Daphnia pulex: one gene and its partner. The protein of the gene in region 1 binds, or shares a complex with, the protein of each later gene. Links are inferred from orthologs where the notes say so. Each region holds a gene or a part of one and is shown on either strand. Other genes may lie near its edges.

Evidence for each region.
Region 2: condensin complex subunit 1-like (region 1) and condensin complex subunit 3-like share a complex: the UniProt entries of both Homo sapiens proteins name them as parts of the condensin complex. The link is inferred for Daphnia pulex from reciprocal best matches to the Homo sapiens genes NCAPD2 and NCAPG.

What each region holds. Positions count from the first base shown.
Region 1 is NC_060021.1:6,806,090-6,817,285, forward strand, and holds the start of condensin complex subunit 1-like, read right to left. Parts: upstream 4,033-11,196; 5' UTR 3,905-4,032; coding exon 3,799-3,904; intron 3,628-3,798; coding exon 3,449-3,627; intron 3,385-3,448; coding exon 3,291-3,384; intron 3,228-3,290; coding exon 3,088-3,227; intron 3,019-3,087; coding exon 2,691-3,018; intron 2,627-2,690; coding exon 2,499-2,626; intron 2,341-2,498; coding exon 2,179-2,340; intron 2,107-2,178; coding exon 1,879-2,106; exon of another isoform or gene 1,821-1,878; coding exon 1,670-1,820; exon of another isoform or gene 1,582-1,669; coding exon 1,568-1,581; exon of another isoform or gene 1,374-1,567; coding exon of another isoform or gene 1,206-1,373; intron 1,146-1,205; coding exon of another isoform or gene 831-1,145; intron 772-830; coding exon of another isoform or gene 757-771; exon of another isoform or gene 498-756; intron 440-497; exon of another isoform or gene 356-439; coding exon of another isoform or gene 200-355; exon of another isoform or gene 137-199; intron 53-136; exon of another isoform or gene 1-52. Other genes in the region: uncharacterized protein LOC124193881, read left to right, coding at 200-355, 4,330-4,447, 4,506-4,567, 4,636-4,779, 4,839-5,153, 5,214-5,348; uncharacterized protein LOC124193883, read left to right, coding at 757-771, 831-1,145, 1,206-1,373; 60S ribosomal export protein NMD3-like, read right to left, coding at 5,619-5,774, 5,838-6,075, 6,136-6,245, 6,304-6,455, 6,516-6,918, 6,987-7,272, 7,335-7,469, 7,532-7,581. UniProt on the Homo sapiens protein: Regulatory subunit of the condensin complex, a complex required for conversion of interphase chromatin into mitotic-like condense chromosomes.
Region 2 is NC_060020.1:456,372-467,412, forward strand, and holds condensin complex subunit 3-like, read left to right. Parts: upstream 1-1,309; 5' UTR 1,310-1,803; coding exon 1,804-2,337; intron 2,338-2,400; coding exon 2,401-2,561; intron 2,562-2,627; coding exon 2,628-3,078; intron 3,079-3,144; coding exon 3,145-3,435; intron 3,436-3,497; coding exon 3,498-3,740; intron 3,741-3,806; coding exon 3,807-4,052; intron 4,053-4,116; coding exon 4,117-4,241; intron 4,242-4,311; coding exon 4,312-4,564; intron 4,565-4,646; coding exon 4,647-5,209; intron 5,210-5,265; coding exon of another isoform or gene 5,266-5,270; coding exon 5,271-5,691; 3' UTR 5,692-5,805; downstream 5,806-11,041. Other genes in the region: uncharacterized protein LOC124193140, read left to right, coding at 1-76; mitochondrial 2-oxoglutarate/malate carrier protein-like, read left to right, coding at 6,072-6,127, 6,194-6,430, 6,498-6,588, 6,652-6,775, 6,862-6,951, 7,014-7,113, 7,185-7,416; solute carrier family 25 member 36-A-like, read right to left, coding at 7,875-7,911, 7,973-8,376, 8,463-8,578, 9,362-9,540, 9,720-10,013, 10,634-10,674. UniProt on the Homo sapiens protein: Regulatory subunit of the condensin complex, a complex required for conversion of interphase chromatin into mitotic-like condense chromosomes.

The DNA of each region.
Region 1 (11,196 bases):
CTTGATTAAAGGTAAGCGTTTGAACGCGCGTCGGACAAAGTAATGAAATGTAAATGAATATTTGGATTGAACAACATTGCCATTCTCTCAAAGATGCCAAGCAGACGACTGCTAATGGCCAACCAGGCAATGCTGTATTTTTGTTCAAATTGTTGACAGTTTGAAAGTAGACGAGAATTTCTCGTTGTTTTTTTAGAAAATGTCAACGATTGAAGAGATCATATCAGAAATTATTAATGTTCTTCAGTCAGTTAATTGTCCACTAATCGTCCGAACTGATGATTGGTGGATTGAGGAACTTTTGTTTACACCAGGGAAACCACGAAAGGATTTAATTCTTTGGATAACTTCGAAGGCAATCAATTAAAATTGCAAGATCTTGATTCCACAGCCACTTCTAGTTCTTCCAGCAATATTAAATTGCCAGAGAGTGATGAAGGTGATTTTATTAATATATTTTTTGTTAGTCTGAATTAATACATGTTGTCCTTCCAAAGCTATTCTAGGATTTTGGTGTGGTGCAAATGTTTGCAGTAAAAAAGACCTACCCTTTATAAAGGAAAGTTTTATTTATAGTTTTAAATGATCTGCTGATCTTGTAAGAAATTAAAAAAATGTTATCAATAGGGTGACATACCAAAGTATGATCAAATAAAGTTTTGGAATTGTTTGATCAAACCCCTTCAAATTCTTGCAAAATCACATGTTAATACAAATATTGCCTTTGGTGGTGGTTCTTTGAGCAACCTTGTCTCCATGGAAAACTTCTTGGTAATGAGAAAATTGTACTCTATATTATTACTCTTAAAGTCTCTATATTAAAATATTAGGATGCTTTTAGCATGAAGGCCACTTTGTTGTCAGCTGATGTACAAAGTGAGATTAAGCAAATACATGAAATGAAAGGCAGAGACCAATTAACAAAGAAACAGATTGTACTGAGGAAAAATCTGCAAAATGACAATTTGCTCATCCCTAACTTCACTAAACAAGCTAAAAGATTGAAAACTGCTGCTGATCAATTTAATGATATTTTCAACTCTGATTTAAAAATCTATCTTCCCAAAAGTGGATCCTCTGCTCCACTTTTAGAATTTGGAGAAGAAATAAATAATATCAGAACCAAGGTCACTGCTTGGAAAAAGGTAAATATGCCTTCTAAATATTTGTTTTAATAATTAACTTTACACACAAATTTAATATAGGGTGCAGATTCTCTACTGGAATTACAACTAAGTACTACCTCTGAGACTAATTTGAAGAAATCAATAATTGAACGGCATTCTTACGAAAGGTGCCAGTCTTATCATTTTAACGACCGGTGGTCATGGTTAAAACTTTGTGTTGCAAGTTTAATGGGATGGCGTGCTTAAGGCTCAGCTTGTGCCATAGCTGAAGCGTTTTACTTCTAATGAAAGAATGAACGTCATGCAAGTGTTCCAGAAGAGGATCCAATAATTGATCACGCAGTTCACCCATCCTCTCGTTTAAATCCTCTCCACTTAGTTCCTAAATACCAATTAATATGTAAGGCGATAAAAAAGAGAAAATCAAAAGGAATTCATACCTCCATGACAATCTCTGCAAATATAGAGAGCGCACTATTACGCTAATAGAAACATACATTCTTTCACGTAAAGAAATAATTATTTTTCCAAATTTAACAGACCACTCTCGCTAGGCCAGCGCTTGTGAGATGGAGAATACAAGCAAAGCAGTGCCAATATGTAAACGTTCCACATTCCGTACACTCCAGTGAAGAAAGCAGACGTATATTCCAAATTGATGTCCTCATCCCATTTCCACTTGCCTTCCGATACCTGAGACAGTAATGGTGTTAAAGAGCTCTGCTCATACGATGCACTTAAAATAACTTACTTGACCAAGAATGAATCCAATGACGGTCATAGCAGCACAAAGTAGAGTGGCCAGCATAAGAAACTTGAATCTGTAAATGACACCTTCATAGAAATGTCTGCGAGCGGACGCCATTGCAGGCAACGCCTGACGCTTAGCACTGATATTGCGGAACACACGATAAATAATATATGACAAGAAAAGAAAGTAAACTCCAGCAGCGATTCCAGCAATAATAACAAAGCTCAGCTATAAAACAAACAAAATTGACGAATGAAGAAACAAAATGTCAAGCAAAGCTGTAACCAATTAATAATTTACCGCGATTTGTGTCCCAATTTCATTCGCCCAAATAGAATAGAACGGATTCCTAAGTTGGATGCCTCTTTCGCACATGTCAAAGATGAACATGGACAAACAACCAACTCCAACACAGCTAAGCTGTTTCCAATAACCTCTTAGTCCTTTTCTTTCAGTATCATCCTACATGTTTAACATATTAACATAAATTTGAAAACAAATGTCATAAAACAAATATACCTAATTCTAAAATGTTGGATTTTGTGTGGATGTTAGAAATCAATTAGAGCATTAGTTGAGTTATATGCTAGTAAAGCGAATGAAAAAAATTAACACATTACCACGAGATGTTCTCCGGCGAAAACAAGCCAGAAAGATAATAGCATCGAGTAAAAAATACCCTGTTTCATATCTCCCAAAAGAAGCATGAAAGGCATTTCAAAGCTCAGGGTTAAGTACTCAAGGGGAACTGTAAAAGAACAACAGAGGAGTCAGCAAAACACATTATTTTATAAAACTTCTGATTAAATTACGATTTAAAGTAGATAAAGCGACGCCAAGAGCCAAGAGCATTGATTCCAATAACGTGGGTTGCCTAGCTAATAACTGAACACGACGCCAAAACCAGATCATGACTCCTACTACCATGGGAAAGAAAATTGTCTTCAAAGACAACCAAACTTTGGTAAAACCACCATTCTGATTAATGACGACAAGCCAAAGATCGGATACAGGACCGAGGCCTCGGTTGTTTTCATATATCATCGGGAATCGCAGATTCAGAAGGTAGTAGTCATGATGTAATGCACCAAGTTCAAACAGTGGTAGAAGAGGGCAATTATAAAGGTAACCATCATCCCACTAAAAAAACGAAAATTACAAAAACTTAATTCGTCATTTCATCCTTCAGAAAAATAAATAAATTATTACTTCAGGAGGTGAACAATCCATAGTTCTGCTTTCAGTTGATGTAGCATACTCCTTCCACTCATCATCAGGATCTCCCTTGTTCCGATAACCAAGCCTGGCTTCAATTGTAACAGGAACTCTGGGTTCCATTAGCTCCCTTTCTATAAAATCAATACTGAAGAAAGGGAACAGAACAAAATATTAAAAATTAAAAAATATTTTACCTTTAAAATAGGTAACATCAATTTGTAAAATTCCAATAAGATTTTGCATCCACCGAGAGTAGTCCAATTCAATTCCTCCACGTGGTAGAGGTAACTACAAAATTAACAGACTTGACACTTAAAACCTTTCAAAATACTCTAAATTTTAGATTACATACCTGGAAAGCAAAAACAACATTTTTATCAGTTATATGTCTCTCCTCTGCTTCAGGCCCATGCAAATCATCAATCTTGTCACAACCACCATTAGGTCTGACATAAAAGAATTTGCTTTTGTTTTGACTATTATCATAGCATTTTGTGGCCAAAACAGACTGAACATTGGATGGTGCTGGAGCTGCAATTGAAATTAAAAGAATGTAGTTACTGATAAATGCCCTTTCCCACATTCAAAAATGTTTACAGGAAAAAGCCAGACCACCACCGAAAACCAGACTTCTCTATTAACGGGGTGCTATTTTAAGAAATGTGAGTCACAAAGGTTCATCTGACAGAAGTTAAGACTTACCGACCAAGCCGCCGAGAAGAAAGCATACTAGAAGACATATAAGGAGGAAAGATATCAACACAATCAACTTTCGATTACTCAGGTTTTCAACCACGGCACCTGCCATTACTAAAAAATGGACTTTCCCGCAGTTAGCTTAATACTACACACGCTGCTCTGTTTTTCACGCCGACTTGATTAAAGCTAGGCGTTTGAACGCGCGTCGAACAAAGTAATGAAATGTAAACAAATGAATATTTGGATTGAACAACATTGCCATTGTCTAAAAGATGCCAAGCAGACGACTGCTAATGGCCAACCAGGCAACGCTGTATTTTTTGTTCAAATTGTTGACAGTTTGAAAGTAGACGAGAATTTCTCGTTGTTTTTTAGAAAATGTCAACGATTGAAGAGAACATATCAGAAATTATTAATGTTCTTCAGTCAGTTAATTGTCCACTAATCGTCCGAACTGATGATTGGTGGATTGAGGAACTCTTGTTTACACCAGGGAAACCACGAAAGGATTTAATTCTTTGGATAACTTCGAAGGCAATCGAAAGTGCGTTGCCTTCTACTTTACATTCAGCACAATTAAAATTGCAAGATCTTGATTCCACAGCTACTTCTAGTTCTTCCAGCAATATTAAATTGCCAGAGAGTGATGAAGGTGATTTTATTAATATATTTTTTGTTAGTCTGAATTAATACATGTTGTCCTTCCAAAGCTATTCTTGGATTTTGGTGTGGTGCAAATGTTTGCAGTAAAAAAGATCTACCCTTTATTAAGGTAAGTTTTATTTGTTGTTTTAAATGGTCTGCTGATCTTGCAAGAAATAAAAATTTTTTGATCAATAGGGTGACATACCGAAATATGATCAAATAAAGTTTTGGAACCGTTTGATCAAGCCCCTTCAAATTCTTGCAAAATCACATATTAATACAAATATTGCCTTTGGTGGTGGTTCTTTGAGCAACCTTGTCTCCATGGAAAACTTCTTGGTAATGAGAAAATTGTACTCTATATTATTACTCATAAAGTCTCTATATTAAAATATTAGGATGCTTTTAGCATGAAGGCCACTTTGTTGTCAGCTGATGTACAAAGTGAGATTAAGCAAATTCATGAAATGAAAGGCAGAGACCAATTTACAAAGAAACAGATTGTACTGAGGAAAAATCTGCAAAATGACAATTTGCTCATCCCTAACTTCACTGAACAAGCAAATAGATTGAAAGCTGCTGCTGATCAATTTAATGATATTTTCAACTCTGATTTAAAAATCTGTCTTCCCAAAAGTGGATCCTCTGCTCCACTTTTAGAATTTGGAGAAGAAATAAATAATATCAGAACCAAGGTCACTGCTTGGAAAAAGGTAAATATGCCTTCTAAATATTTGTTTTAATAATTAACTTTACACACAAATTTAATGTAGGGTGCAGATTCTCTACTGGAATTACAACAAAGTACTACCTCTGAGACTAATTTAAAGAAATCTGAAAATCTCTTGAAACGTACTATTAAGGATAAGTCTTTCCCTCCGTTTCAAAAGCTTTGCGGGTCAGACTGATTTTGTGTAAGGAGAATATTAATATACCGACACCTTGTAAATAAACGTAATTATATACTATCGCTCAGGATAGGATACTGTGTTTAAAAAATAATTAGACTAGTCCAAACAACAATAATTTGCTAACAAAATTTACTTCGTATCAAGATCTATTTTTTAAACCTTAACTACAATAAAAATTCGTTAAAATAAACAATTCCACCAGGAGTAATATGTATTCGCTGTAGACATACAATGCTGTCACCAACTGACCACTTGGTTCTGAAAATTCTACTCAGCTGCCAATACCGAGGCCCCACTTGAAGGATTTTCGTCGCCAATATGTAGATCGTCCAACATTTCCTGTAGAGTAATTTGGGGGATTTCTTCGTCTGGTTCTCCAACCTCAACGGCAAATCCAACTTTCCTTTCGTCTTTGTAGATATTCTAATAAAAATACGCAAGTGTTAGTAATGCAACAATAATTTAAATAGGTAAAAAAGAACATACAATGTTCTGACGGAAAGCTGGATCTTCTTCCAAGTCCTCCAAGAAATCGGTATAATCGCGATTAACGCTTGTAACATCCATTCCATCAGCGTCCAAGTGGCGAAGCTTAAACTTACGCCGACGATTACGAACAGACTTGTCTGCGTACATCTTCTTAACCAACACGACATCTGGCATGTTCTCACGATTCATTTTGTCAAAATTGTCATCATTAACATTACAATTAGCCAGGTCGTATCTAGAAATTGGTAATTGGATAAAAAACTGCTTCAAGGTAAGTAAAGACATGAAAAATTACCCCATAACAATGTCGCCAGGTTTAAGCAAATGTCCAAGATGAGTTCTAGTGTGAATCTCATTCGTTCCCATTTCATTAGGACGACAGACATAAACATCTGCCAATACATGCTGCAAACGATAATTTCATTACTTGCGAGTGATCTAGGAAAATCTTTTTTTCAATTACTTTGAAAGACATGGCGCCCTGTCCAGCAAATGTCCGTTTTTCATGGTCACGAATAACCTCAATATCCATGACAACATACTCTGCCAGCTGTTTGGTTCCGCTAAGGGCATTGAACGGTGTCCGCCAGTAGGTATTCGAATTAACTTCGGCAACTATTAATGTTATAAATAGGTAAACTGAATCTTTAAAAACTTTGAAATTATAAATCGTACTTTGTCCCGAAAATGGATCGATCAGATGGATGGTAGACGACACTCGTTGGACAACACAAATTTGTCCTATTCCTCCAAGCTGGTGAGCCAGTTTGGCTGGCAAACATACAACACAATCTTTGCAAACTGGAACTATTTCAACACTGTAGGTGAATTTGCAGTTGTATGTGTTGCTGTGGATATCTTGAGATATCACGGTCTTTGATACTTGATAACGGCATGGAACAACAGATGTCAAAAAGTCCAACATCTTCTTGGCTTGGCCTTCATTGGCATAGAAAAAATCAATGCCCTCATGAGTTGGCTTAATCCCCAATGTAGATTCATGGGCTTTGTGTTTCAAAATCAACTGTTCCAGATAATAGAAGGTCTTTTTGTGATCAGTTTTCTGTCTGACTTGTACCTAAAACGTAATTTTAATGATAATTAAATCAAATTTTCTATACTTTCCAAATGTTCTTATTCACTTACATTTGCTTTCCAAAAGTCTTTGGCCTCAACTCTATGACAATCTTCACAAAACTGTCCATTAACAACAAAATCAACAATAAACACTTGTTGCAAAACGGCTCCTCCCAAAACTTCAGCCTGAATTGTCAGTTTAACCTTGATTCTCTTAGAATGAGGCTCTGTCCAAACAAACCCAGCATCAATAAGCCTGACTCTGTTGAGTCCCTTAAGTTTAGCCAAACAGAGTCCTAGGAGCTCTCTAGACTCTAGTGAGCACTTAATCCACTGTTCAGGAGGTTGAAGATATCTGAATAACAAGATAGCGATGAAACGAGTTTGAAAAAAAAACAATTTTGTCTACCATCTTACCTCTCACAACCTTTGCAGAAATAGATAACAGCCTGCTTCGGAATACCCTCGGAAATGTCGACTTGGGTACGAAGACATGCAACGCACATATTTGCAGGATTAGGTTCAATGGGAGTTCCACACTGACAGCAGAGACTGCAATATAGAAAACTTGAATTTAATCCAAGAAAAGAGATGCAACATTATTTTGTCATTACATTTTGCAGGCAAGTGAAGATTCTTCAGATCCCTCCTCCATATACTCCATTGTTAGACGATAAACTAGGAATCTTCTAAAAACAAAAAAGTTAACACGTTTAACACGTGTTATCTGGTGTTATATAGGGTAACAGCCTAACAGGTTCTCCAAGACTTGGCGTAAAAAGACTCTGCAGACGACGATTAGCAAAAAAATCGATTATCGAATAAATAAAATATCGATGTAAGCATGGCGCGGCAAAAGTTGCGAAATTTGTTTTATAGGGCGTGATCCAATCCAAAATTTCCAATGGAAAATGATTCAAATTTCTGCTGCTTGTGCCAGGGGTATGGAAGTTAATGGTACGCGTAGAAGCATAGCCTACTCTAGTGATCTGCCGAATCAATTTTGATTCCAATCAAAATTTGATATTATTTTATTTCTCTTTAACCCTGTATTTTTAGAATAGACAAGTTCGGGATGCTGAGTTGCACAACCGCTAAATTAGGATCGTGCGCCAACGGGTCCTTTTAACGTTGTGGGGATAGTAGAAAGCGGGTTTTTTATTATATAAGCATAGAATTACTTATCTAATCTTAGAAATGTTCAGGATTATCGTTGTTTAGAACATTCTGCTTTTTATAGAGTAATTTTAAATGTCTAATTCAGCTTAGTTTACCCATTAAAATTAAAGAAAGTGCAAGCCTGGGATGCTGTTTAGTCTTTTCTTGTGTTTTTTGACAGATCTGTTGACAAGTGACAAGCTCAAACACACAAGAAAAGAAATGTGCTAAGATGTCATGAAAACACAGTTTTTAAAAAACCCATTTTTCCCATAAGCGCTGTGTGAAAAACGAAAAACACTTTTTCGCGCGGAAAAATGGGTTTTACGTTTGATTTTTTTTGCACACTAAATTTATTCATAATTGCACCAAAATTGGTACAATCAAAGAATGAAAGATTTAATACAATTTCATATTTCTTTAAATCTTTTATTTCCACCAAAAAGTGTGTTTACACGGGTTAAAAAAAACAAAAAATTTAAATCACTTTTAAACATGTTCTACACGATATTTTTCACGGAGATTCTGAACAGAACTATATTGTAATGGTATAAACAGTGCTCACGAACGAAATAACGGATAATAATTTGTTTGGGGTCAAATGGCTTATTTGACTATACTATCTGGCTATCTCGCCGTTACCGAGAAGCCCCGACTGCTTGTCTGTGATTTGTCTAGGGCTGTGGCCCGGGAAATGAAAACCCGGGCCACTGTTCGGGCTAAAGAAATAAAACCCAACTCAACTCACCGAGGCATTTTTTGAACGGGGCGGGCGATGGGTCGAACCGCCGGATCCGCGGGCCAACCCAAGATGTGGCGCCATCTATTAGTCAAAAAAAGAATTTCACTGCATCTGCAGCTAGGAAGTGTCAGAAACATCTGGAAGGATAGGATAGCCGTTAAATCCATGCAGAGTTGCAGAGATTGGGGACTACCCCCTTTAAAACCCCACATTTATATGTTAAAAATTTTTTCAACTTGTAACTTTTTTATTATGTGTAGAATTAATTTTAATGCAAGGTTAAGTGAAGAATGCCGAATAATATTTAAAAAAAGTGTTGAAATCGCCATCGCCAAGAAAAAGGGGAAGTTTATCATTTTTACGGTTTAGATTTAGGGAAGGGGTCGATTTTTTAGACGGAGGGTGGGCGGGAAGGTGTCGATTTATTGGGGGTTTGGGGGAGTGAGCGCATTGTATTCTTTCTTCGACCCCCCCCCCCCCTAGATAAAGTGTCGTCTGCGTTTCGTTTTGTTTCAATTCAGTCGTTAAGCGACACCAAGAGGGACCTGCCGCTAAACCGGCACCTCCTGGTTTATGAGCAGTTGGGCACTTGGGCACTTTTCCAAGCTAGCACTGGATGAGGATCATAATGTCGTTGACGAAGTTCGCCCACTAAATCACTTGTCTAAACGATTAGGCAAAAGACGAAAAAAGTTCTTGAAAATATAAAGATTATAAATTAGAAAATCCTGCAAACCTTTTTGGAGAAGACATGCAAAATTGTGTCACAAACTTCGCCAATTAATATTGCTTGTTTTTTCCATAACGGATTCCTTGTAAAATTGGGTTAGACCCCAATGGGAATTTCCGTTATCTCTATCTGCGTACCGTTCAAAACTGCTACTTATTGCTACTTAAATTGTTTGTACCCAAATACTTCGCACTTGCGTCACTCCCACAACAAAACATTTTGAACGCCAATTTTTCCTATTCCGCAACTTCAGCCTCATTTAAAATCACCAGAAGTTTTTCGAGATCTCTTTGCCACAAATCTTCCGGTGATTGGTCCAAGATGAGCTGTTCACATTCACGTATCTCCTTATCTTTGTCGCCAGATAAGCTTGTTTTCCTTCGTTGGTTTGAAAGCGGATCGGCAACTGATGCAGGTGATAATTGGATTTCTTCTCCCAAGTGATAAGAGAACCTGGAGCATAGTTTGACGACGTAGTTCCTCCAAAAAAACATCAAACTTCTAAAAGATAGGAGAAGCGAAAAAAGTTCATGAATAAATTAAATTGAAACTTATTAAATCACGCAAACCTTTTCTGAGTCGACTGTCAGATCTTTAGAACTTATTTCGGCTAGGAATTTGTTTTGATTTATTAGCTTTTCTCTCAAGGCTTTAACTTCGAACGCCAGCTCTTGTTCGACATCTTCTATTTTCTTCAACATCAGAAGATCATCGAGATCTTTACACCATAAGTCTGCCGATGATTTTTCCGAGTAGATTTCATGTTCATTTATCCTGAGATCTCAAACCTTCAGAAGTCTTTCTATTTCTTCGTGGATAAGAGAGGGAGGGGTTTTCAGTAGCGCTAACAAGTATTCAACATCGATGATATGCTGTCCTCCCCTTGGACATCTTCTCCTAAGCCTTATTGCAAAAAGTTTACTTACCAAAAGAAGTTCAGCGTGGATGGAGGGTTGCTTCCCCCTGTGTCCAAACAGAATCGTTTTAGGATGCACAAGGACAGAAACGGTTAGCTCTTGACTTGCTGTGGTCCTGCAGACCTGCACTTCTTCCATATCAGCAACTATATCCCCATTTAACATAAAAAAAATAATCGAGATCTTATTTGCGCACCCAATTGTAAGATGATTATTTTAGAGTAGATCCCATTTTATCTTCAAATATCTTTCTTTTCCTCCGTCGGTTAGTAACGAATGGGCATCTGATACAAATAAAAGTAACTGCTAACTTTGACATTGCCCTGGTAGCAAGCCAAGCAAAAGTCTTTCAGACGTTTTCTGGTTCGAATTCTTGGCTTGGCTGTCCTTCCCTTTGACATATTCTGAGCATTAATGCAGTGAATTCACTTACCAAAATACGTCCAGCGTAGATGGAGGTTTGCTTCCCACCTTAATTTTAACTAAATTTTGAGATTCATACAAAAATTTAGGATGCAGAATGGACAGAAAGGGATCGATTGATGGACGAAAAGGGCTTGAATCACACCTGAAATAGGTTTGAAAAATGTTTAACTTAAGCTTTAGATGAAGACTGATGTGAATTTACTCATTTTGATGTTAATTTACTGTGCCAGAATGCTTTAAATATGAAAGGGAATACTCATGCAGGGAAAAAGCAGTATGGACAGAAAGCGTTAGCTCTCCCTTACG
Region 2 (11,041 bases), on another chromosome or scaffold:
GGACCAAGAAGAGACAAATGTTTCAACCAGATATAATGTGCACAAATTATTGTCTTTAGCTGAATGTGGTGTTTGAAATAACAATGACAATTTTGTTTGCATACAAGGAGAACCTCGTGATACGATTTCTTTTATTTTTCATATCCACTACATCATATCTTTGCCATTTGATGTACATATTTGTTTCCCACTATAACGCAGCCAACTTAAATTTCTAGACGGGTTGTTTAAGGAGAGTGGTGTAACGTTCAATCTTTGATGCCAAACTCATGTCGATGTAGCGATCTCCAAGGACAACTACAAGTCCACCAACAATGGAGGGATCCACCTTGGTTGAAATCTTGAGACTGTCCTTTCTGGCTTCTGCAAGAATCCAGAAAGAGCGGCAGTAACCTCTTTCAATGTAGCAGCATCCAAGGCCTTGATATAAGAATAGATTTTTTTAAACATGTAATTGTTTAATTTTTTTTAGATTTATATTTTACCTTGGCTGAGGTGACCTCACATACAACTTAACCTCTGAATGCAGCCATCATGTTAAAGAAATGGCCAGTGACAACATCCAATTTGTTAAGTCTTCCATTCTCAGCAAGGAGTTCTGTAATCATAGCCATATGAATAACAATTAGAATAAAGTGAAAACCAATAGAAAATAAAAACTTACCAAGGAAGTTGCCTGTAACAGCACTCATTTTCAATTTCTTGGCAACTGAAATAAGAGCATCTTTCTTAAGTGATCTCTTCAAAGTGGGGTTGGCAATGAATTCTGCCAAACGAGAATCTTTGGCGATAGTTGCATGAAAGTCCTTCAACTCGCTTTCAACTTTGTCCAAAGATTTCTGTTTGGAAGCAGCAGAGTAGAGTGCTGAGGCATAGCGACCATACAACCCAAAAACTTGGACTGGAGCCTATAACAATTACACAATTAGGTTAAAATGTACCTGTACCACACTCACATGATTTACCTTCACCAACTGCTGGGATGATGAACTGGTGCTGAAGTTACGAGCCTAATAGTTGGAAAGTAAAAACATTCATTGAAAATAGTACAACATTTTATAAATTACGGCAAATTAATTTAGGATTGTGCGAAAACAACCGGCTATTCAAAATCGAATACGGCTTGAAACTTAGAGGTTTGACAGTTGGATATTTCTACCTTTTTATTATGGAAAACCTTTTATTATTGTTTTTCACTTCTTGTAGAAAAGTAAGCTGTGATTGGCCAATGAGTTTTTCATAGACCCTTCCTGATTGGCTGGCTTCACGTAGTAGCTGACACACTCACTAGAGGCGCTCATCCATTTTTCCCAATCGGCTTACGTTTACCCTGAAACCGGGATAGGGAAGCCAACACAGCCATGAACTGACCAGGTATCTATAGCTCTGATATTAAAAAAAAACCTGTCACCTTGTTTTATTTCGTCTTACTCGTCAACGTCGCATCGTCTCTCCGCTTCAAAAAAGTTTAAGCGGCCGTTGAGAAACGTCGTACTCTCGTTATTTTCAGAAAATTTTGTGATTTCAGATAATTAGAAGACTGATTTTTGAATTGCTCTATAATTTTCCCAATGCTTTCTACAAAATCATTGGAATTGAAAGAAAATTTGTCGAAGCGGAAATCGGAGGTTGACAAGTGCACGATACCTCCCAGCAAGGAACCTCGCATTGAAACAGAAACAGATAAGGGCAAAGAAGAGATCGCTAATAGTTTCAATACTTACCAATATTGGAAAGATCCGCTTCCTGACATCAGTTTTGAACTTGGTACAAATATTGTAAGCCCAAGGCAGGCTGAGTAAAATGGTAGGCAACAAACACATTGAAGAGATATTTACCAAAAGCCAACATTCCATTGCTGATCACCCCAAACTAGTAAAGAACCTTAGAAAAGTCTATGACCAAATTGAAGATGTAGATTCTTTTAATCAACATTTTATTAAATGCTTCAAGTGTCTCTTGATTCATGGAGAAAGGGAGACTGCTGTTAACTTTTGTTTAGATTTTGCAGCCAAATTTGCAACATCGTTTGAACTGGAAAAAGATCCAGAAGATGAAGATGGTGAATGCCACCCTTTCTATGAAAAACTTTTTGATTTTCTTTTGTCCCATCACAATGTCAAGAGCCAGGCTGTTCGATTTAGAGTGTGCCAGTTCATTAATAGAATGCTAGAAGAGTTGAATGAGTCTGCTTGCATCAGCGCAGAACTTTTTGAAAAAATTTATGATGCCATGCTTGAAAGAATTCAAGACAGAATTGCCTCAGTTCGGGTCCAGGCTGTCATTGCCTTACAGCGCCTGCAAGATCCTACCAACAAAGAATGTCCAGTTATTAAGGTAACTTGGCGTTAAAAATGTTTTTACTTTTCTGTATTTAAAAAATGTTTCACCCTTGTACAGGCATTAGTTTTCCATTTGGAAAGAGATCCTCATCCCGAAGTACGTCGAGCTGTACTTAAGGCACTTGGATGCAATTATTTTACGCTCGAATTCGTTTTGGTCAGGCTGCGTGACGTCAAAGACCTTGTTCGCAGGCAGGCCTATATCTTCATTAGTGAGAGGTATGTGGAAGAATAAACAATAATTGCATGCTGTCTATTTTTATCTTCATTTATTTTCATTTTTAGAGTTCATGTCCGAACATTATCAATTGCCAATCGTGTGACAATTTTGAACCTCGGACTCAACGACAAATCAGCTGCTGTGACGACCATGGTGCAGGACAAACTTATCCCTGCCTGGATCAACGCCATGGAAGGCTCCATCTTCAATTTCCTGCGTGGTCTTGATGTGGAAGGCTGCAGCGATACTGCTGTTCAAGTCTTGCAAGTTTGGTTGAAAACGCTCAACTACAAGGAGATAACATCTCAGTTGCCTATTGGTGAAGAAAATCTGGTTAGTATCGAAGCGTTAAAGCCAGAAGTGGCTCTTTATTGGTGCACGGCCGTTTCTTTCCTGCGAAACGAGGGAGTTCATGCAGCAGATGCTCTTGAAACCATTATGCCAGAAATGACAGCGTTTGGGAAATATTTGAAAATTTTCGTTTTGGCAAGGCTTACCGAAACCGACGACATGGAGGTAAAAACATTGTATTTCCTAAAATTGTATTCTTTCGTTAAAACATGTCATTATGTATGCCATTAGGTATTGAGTATGGAATTTATCGTTGCCAACTTATTGGAGATGGCACAACACTTTGACCTTGCGGATGAAGCGGGTCGCTTGAACTTGCGACGCGATCTCTGCGATCTTTTACAACACGAAAAGACTAGCCCAGCATTGACTCGTACCATGGTCAAGTGTATTAGTCTGATTGAGCCCAATTTGGATGTTCGCATCGCCAAATTGCTTGAGGTCATTTCAGAGCTGCGAGAGCCACTAACTCAGGCGGAAGTACTCATTCCAGAAGATCAGCAGCGAAGAAACAAATTAGAGGTGAACTGGCTTATTGGATCCAAAAGAAATTCATTTTTTGATTCATTATTATTTCTGAATAGATTGCTCAATGCCGAGTCCAGGTGAACGAATTAAAGGAAGAATTGCAGGAGGCCATTGACAAACAAAACTTTCTTGGTGCCCAAGAGATTCAACAAAAGATGGTCGTTTTGGAGACGAAACTAAGCGAGTTGTGCAGTCGGCCCACCACTCATGACGTTGAAGTGTTCCGCGAAGAGAGAGATGATCCCTTAACACTACTAAAGTGTCTCAGCACCGTTTGCGAGCTGCTAAAAAATTCGCCGGTATATTTCATTCTTATTTTTAAAAATCAGTAACATTGCTGGTTAGTAATGATTCTTTTTTATTAGATGCTTAAATTGACGAAAGAATTGGACCAACTTTTAATGTCTCTGATCTTGCCTTGCGTCGAGAGAATCGATCCAGCTGTCCGAAATGCCGCTTTCGAAGCTTTGGGTTGCCTGTGTACTTGCGACTTGGAACTGGCCCAACAACGTTTGCTCTTGTTTGTACAAGCAGTTCAGATGGATCACCAAATCCTTCAGATCACAACAGCCAAAGTTCTCTTTGATCTCGTTCAATTATTTGGTCTTTCCGTGAGTCATGCATTACTCTTATTTTATTCATCAAGAAACTTAAATCATACATGATTCATTTCAGACTTTTGAGGACCAAGAGAGTGGTACATCTCTAGCTACAGTGCTGACTGATCTGTTGGATAGTGAAGATGCAGATGTTCAAACAATTGCTGTCGAGGGTTTCGCTAAACTATTGATTGCTTCCCGGTATGTATTTTTGAAATGTCAGTAAAATTTTTCCTTTTCGTTGTATTAATAACTTAAATGTGACATGTAGAATTGAATCGTCCATGATTCTTTCGCGCTTGGTCATTTTCCTGTTCCACCCGCTGACGGATGAAAACGTTCGTCTGCGTCAAGTCCTCCACGTCTTTTTTCCTTTCTTTGCTTCCATGGATATTGCAAACCAACAGCAATTGGAGGCGGCTTTCGTACCGACTATCAAGACCATTCAAAAGGCCCCGTGTACTTCTCCTTTGGCGGAGATAGACATTTCCATGATCGTCAAATTCTTTGTCGACTTGACACAGGTAACTTAATGTTACAAGCCTTAACATGAATTACAAATATCTTAATTACAAGTAACCTAATTTTGTTATATTTGCTATTTAGGAAAGTTTATTAGCCGCCAAGCCTGAGGTCGATCACACCATCCACGATCAACTCGCTATGAAACTTTGTACTGAATCGATGCGATCTCCTGATACGAACGAAAGTAAAGTCTACCTCAAGGCCTTGTTGCAGTTGAACATGTCGTTCTCCAATCCGTCAAACACTAAAGACTTGCACACTCTTATCCGGAAAATGCTTCGAAATTTCAGAGAGAAGGGTTCCATCAGAATGATTGAGCAATTTGAATCTATCGTAGAAAAGCATTTGACGGCTAATGCGGACTCGGCCAAGTCTGCTACTGAAAACGATTCCGATATGGAAGTTGAACCTGTTATTGCTCCCCCATCTCCTCCCATCAATAAGCCAAGAACAAGAAAATTAGGAAGTAAACATGCAGCGACTCTTTTAATGGATACTAGTAGCGACGTCGATGTCTCCCAAAGTTCCGATGTTTTCTTCAGCCCAGAAAAGACAAGCACTCAAAAGGAAAAACCTCGTGAAAAATCACCCGAGGTTGTTATTGAACAAATGGATGAGGTTGTTATTGAACAAATGGATTTAAGGTGATTACATATTTAATTTCGCTTTCTACGTGTTATTTTCATCAAATTTTCGTTCGTTTAGTTCGACCACAAACAGCGAGAAAACTGTACCTTCAAGAACTCGACGACAGGCTCCACGCAGCGTTTCCGTTGTCGCTGAGGAACGAACAACACCTCCTCCTTCCTTACCTCGTCGTAGAACACGATCGACTAGATCAGTCGTTGTTTCCAGTGTCGACGAGGACAGTGTTCCCGTTGACGATGGGGACCGAACACCTCCTTCCCCACCTCGGCGTAGAATACGATCAACGAGATCAGTTGTGGTTTCCAGTGTCGACGAGGACGGTGGGGAACAAACAACTCCTTCCCCACCTCTGCGCAGAACACGAACGACGAGACCAGCCGTGATTTCTAGTTCCGACGAGGATGAAGATGTTATACCTCCGACCCCACCTCCAAATAAAAATACTAAAAAGTCGGCAAGATCAACCAGGAAGCGTTGATAAAACAAATTTTTTTTTCTTCATTTTTCTATCATCTTTTTTTTTCTCCTTTACAATTTTACTTACTTTCCTGTAAGAGATATTAATACAAATAAATTTCGGTCACTTGAGCAATTCCAGAATGTTTCACTAGAAAAATAACTCATTTGTGACATTGTGTGACATTGTGAAATTCAAATATCATACTGTGATATGCCGGTAGATGTCTTGATCAACGATCGCTTCTGGATTTTTGATCACAGATCACTCGTCTGTCTCTGTAGGCTACGGTCTCCGGTGTCTTGTTTTGAGAGCAGACTGGAGTACGTGTTTAAATAGTTTATTCGTCATTCCTGAGGGTTTGTTTAAGTTTTAAACAAGTATATCCCATTAGATTTAAAATGGGTGAAGCTCAAATGCCAAAACCAGTTAGGTTTGCTATTGGAGGTTTGTCAGGGTAAGTTGTTACAGTCTTACTTTATTTATATATAAGTTTTATTAACAAGGATTTTGTCAATTTTAGAATGGCTGCCACATTGTTTGTCCAACCTATGGATCTTATTAAGAACAGAATGCAGTTGAGCGGTGAAGGTGGCAAAGCCAAAGAACACAGGAACACTTTGCACGCAATTAGATCCATCATGATGAAAGAGGGTATCTCTGGCATGTATTCTGGTTTATCTGCAGGCCTTCTGAGACAGGCAACCTATACAACAACTAGGCTGGGAATTTACACATGGCTGTTTGACACCATGAGTGGGTTAGTAGGACTGTGACCTTGACAAATGTTATAGTTCAATACATCTATATTGTTTTTTTATTTCTAGTCCTGATGGAAAACCACCAGGTTTTGCAACAAAAGCTGTGCTTGGAATGGCTGCTGGAGTTGTAGGAGCATTTGTGGGAACCCCAGCTGAGGTAATTTTAGTGAAAAAGGGCACATGGTAACAAAAAGTTACCGGTATTCATTACTTATTATAGGTTGCCCTTATTCGTATGACAGCAGATGGAAGACTGCCAGAGGCAGACAGAAGGAATTACAAGCACGTCGGTGACGCGTTGGTTCGGATGGTCAGGGAGGAAGGATTGGTCACTCTCTGGAGAGGTTTTTGCAATTTCCTTTGGAAATTTCCTTGGAAATTTCTCTTCCTTTTTGAATTTCCTTTTAAATCTCCTTTGAATTGATCGTAGGAGCGATCCCAACGATGGCTCGGGCAATGGTGGTAAATGCCGCCCAACTTGCTTCCTATTCTCAAGCTAAACAATCTCTCATGTCAACTGGTCAGTCTAGTCTTTAACGCCCACATTTATAGCGCAAAAACTAAACGGCTCTTTTTCTCTAGGTTATTTTAGTGAAAACGTGATTCTTCACTTCTGGGCTTCCATGATCAGTGGTCTAGTTACGACAGCCGCTTCTATGCCTGTCGACATTGCAAAAACTAGGTAACTACGTCGTATTATCATCGATTAGTATCGAAAGATAAGAGAAAATAACATTTTTGGCATTGATTCAGGCTGCAAAATATGAGGTTCATTGACGGCAAGCCAGAATACAAGGGCGCAGTCGATGTACTGGGTCGCGTCGTACGCAACGAAGGAATCCTAGCTTTGTGGAAGGGATTCACGCCGTACTACGCACGCATCGGACCGCACACAGTTCTCACCTTTATTTTCCTCGAACAGATGAATACGTTTTACAAGCGAAATATTCTCGGTCTCAAGGACGCCAAAGGAGGTGGCATTTAAATTGTCTTGTCAATAGAGAGAAGCTTTGGTAGAAAATCATCAAGCCTGATATTTAGTCTGCAATCCATGTTGTCGACACGTTAAATTGGTGACTGTGAATGTAATTTAGGTGGATTTTGTTATCAAATAAAAAGGTATAAAACACATATCGATTTTGTAAGACAACTTTATTAAGAATTACTCCAAGTGTGTGCTGGAAGCACCCTTTTATACACTTTAACAAATGAATTCGATTGCGCAAAATAACTAGTGAATAACGAGTGACTAGTCATACTGTACAAGCTCTATACACGTTTTTTTTTCTTTTTTCTTAAGTTAAAAAAAAAGGCACAATCTAAATAGTCAGAATAACTATCACAATTCGATATTTTGCGCGAAAGACAAAGCTGATTAAGAAAAAGGGGTTTGGGTGGGAGATTACATGAATGAAGACTTTTGAAAACAGCGACGGCAGTTCATTATTCCGAACCAGTGTACCGCTTTTCGTTTACCAAACTAAAATCGAAAACCGGTTAGTTATTAAGAATATTATGATTATTCTAATTATTATTTTTACCTGTTGAGCACGTAAACTGTGGCCTCGTATGTGGTCATCATAATGGCCGTGTTGGGAATTTGCCGGATCAACTGCGTCGACAGTCCACGATAGAGCCCTCGATGTCCCTCTTCGCGGAAGACTGTGTGCAACGTTTGAAAAAATCCCCTGTAACGTGAATTCTCTTCACGCAGCCTGGTCCTAACCACTTCATGCGGATAGGACACACAACAAGCCACCGTCTTGCTGATGGCTCCTGCTAGCATGTAGTCCATGGCTTGGTAGTTGCCCAGTGGACTGTCCGTCTGCGTTTCCCGCATCTGTTGCAGGGTCGATTTCAGGTACTCGTAAAGTACAAACTTAATTATGGTCTCTGAGATACCGAAATATGAGGCTGTTATTCCTCTGTAAAAGCCAACAACACCCTAAAGAAAAAAGAATTCCAAAATTAGATTGGTGGCGCTGGCTGAGCCTGTTACGTAACGTCACGACGAATTGGTTTCCAAATTACCTGACTACGATAGATGTTGGAAATGCACTGCCAAGCTGTGACGTTTTGATTGCGATTGAGCTGCAGACGTGTCTTGACGAACCAAATTGGATTGGTTAAAGTGCACGACACAAATCCTGTGGAAACAGGAAGAAGTTAATAAAAAACGATTAATTTATGGATCTGTTCAATTTGCGAATGACGTACTACGTAGGCCACAACGAGTTCCTTAACCGTCCCAAGGACGAAACGGGAAAATGCGCCATATCCGCGAATGTTAGAAACGGGCTCTATAGGTAGACTACGTAATAATGCCCTCCTTCCCGCCCGGAGTGGATTTTGTTAACTTATTCAAAGTCTGGGCGAACCTTGGGCAGGAGCACGGCTTGTGCACGTGTTCCGTTTTTAAAAATACACCAGACCATTCTTCCAAGGAGGGGGGAGAGAGAGAAACGGCAACTGGGCATTCGTTACGTGAATCACGTAGGTAAGTGGAGAGAGAAAAAAAGACGGCTGAGCCAACCAACCGGACAAGTCTGGTTTTTTCACCCTTTGATGCTGACCCGCATACGAAATTAATTCAATTATTTTCACATAGAAAACCCAGGGTGAATCAGCTAATACATTCTTCCTAATGACTTTGTCTTCTCTTCCATGCATTCTTTTTAAAAGGAATATATAATTTGTGCAACGTCATTTTAAAGCAAGTTTTAACCCCCCTCCCGACTGCCAGCAAGAAGTGAATTTTGGGCTAAATGCCAAGTTGGTTATTGCGTTAAAAAGTGACAACTAAAAGGGAAGAGAACAACTAATACAAGGACGTCCTTCTATGTCTAACTAAAGCGATATGGGCGAAAAACCGGCCTCGACTGGACAGAAAAGAGAAATTTTGCGCAACTAGACGTGAGGGACATATTTACCTGCAGAGCCAGCCGAGAGCATATGGACCAAGTGAGAATCTGGAGTCATGATCTGGTTGAATTTTCGTTTGGCCGTTGAATAGGTGCAAAAATATAGGGCTCTAGTGGGGGCCACTCCAATCAGGTTTGGTCCCAAACCTTTGAATAGCGCCCGGCATCCTTCTTGGTCGATCAGGTGCCTACGTGAGAAGGCAAAGAATTTGATCAATTAACCGTTGTTCTTATCGAAATCCACACCTTATCTCCTTTTTATAGTTCTAGTTTTTATTATCGTTTAAATGTATATATGTAGAGCAAACAAACAAGTCAATTAAAGGATTAAATATTCCGTTTGTTTCATAGAATTCCCTTTTCTTACCGAAAACAAGAAAGGGCTCCTTTGGGTTGGGCGGAAGACGCCGGCCAAGGGAGGACGGCTTCAGGAAACACAGCCAACCTCGAATTGACGGACGAGCATTGTTGGTGATGATAATAAACGTTCCAGTTCATTTCTGGAGTGAAATACATGTGATTGGCGCTGCATCCTGCGTTGGACGAAGCTGTTCGCAGGGAGCGAACTGCACTGTAGTGGATTTCAGAGGAAGACGATTGCAGGCGAGTCTTGATAACTTCAAGTGGGCACGTCACTATGGCTCCCACAGTACCACCAACCCTACGTCGTCACAGAAAAGAAACATTAAAAAATTGAGTCCTAGCAACGAGAATGGGTCAACGAGTGCGTTGGGCTAGCCAAAAATGTCGCCTCTTAAAATACTAACTTCAAACAAATGCCAACTTGTCTTTGGAATGGTTTAGTAGCCTGCAACTTTCAAAGGGAAAAGTTGCTGCAAGGATTTGAAAACTGAAGTACGTATATTTTAGAGTTCGATGGCAAACACACTAGGATTCAAATTACAACATCTGGCTCAGAAGAAAGCCATTATTTTGGAATGCACAAACATCCCTCACTGCTTAAATTCTAGTTGTGGAGTGGACCAACTTAGGAGGGAAACTGAAATGGAAGATAACGAGAAGGGTACACTGGGCAAGATAACTGATGCAGGTAAGATAGGTTTTATAGGTTAAATGAAAACCATCTCCCTCACCCAAGTTAAAACCCAAGGCAACATAATGTAGTATGTAGTTTGAAAATTTTAATCCCTACCTCCCTTCTGACTAAGACTAAAGGAAGGGATGTCGGTGTGTTCGGCGTAATGGCCAAAATGGTTTCTGCCTAGTGGGGGGAAGAAGACGAAAAATGAACCGAAACGAAGAAAACGAAAAAAATCTTACCCGCCAGCGAAGAGATGGATGAATGTATCTGCATTCGACATAACACGTAATGCAATTGCACATCAATTAAGATGAAAGTAATATTTTTGTATAGTTAAATGTTTACCAAGACCAACCGGATTGGCCGAATTGTAAACATAAGTGTAGTTTGCTCTAAAGATGACGGAAGAATAAAACAAAATCCAACACGAGTTCGTTTTCAGCTGCTGGCCTGCTGCTGATCTGACTGGGATAGGTAAGGGAAATGGGGGTAGGGGACGGCGAACCAATGGCTCGTTCGCTATTGGGTATCTAAGCTACGACAGAGCCACCTAGCGCCGCGTGATGGAAAACCCAACGACGCAATTCCCACAAACACGCTTGTTTGTTTATCGGCTTTTCAGATCGATCAAACAAGAGCCCTCGGGC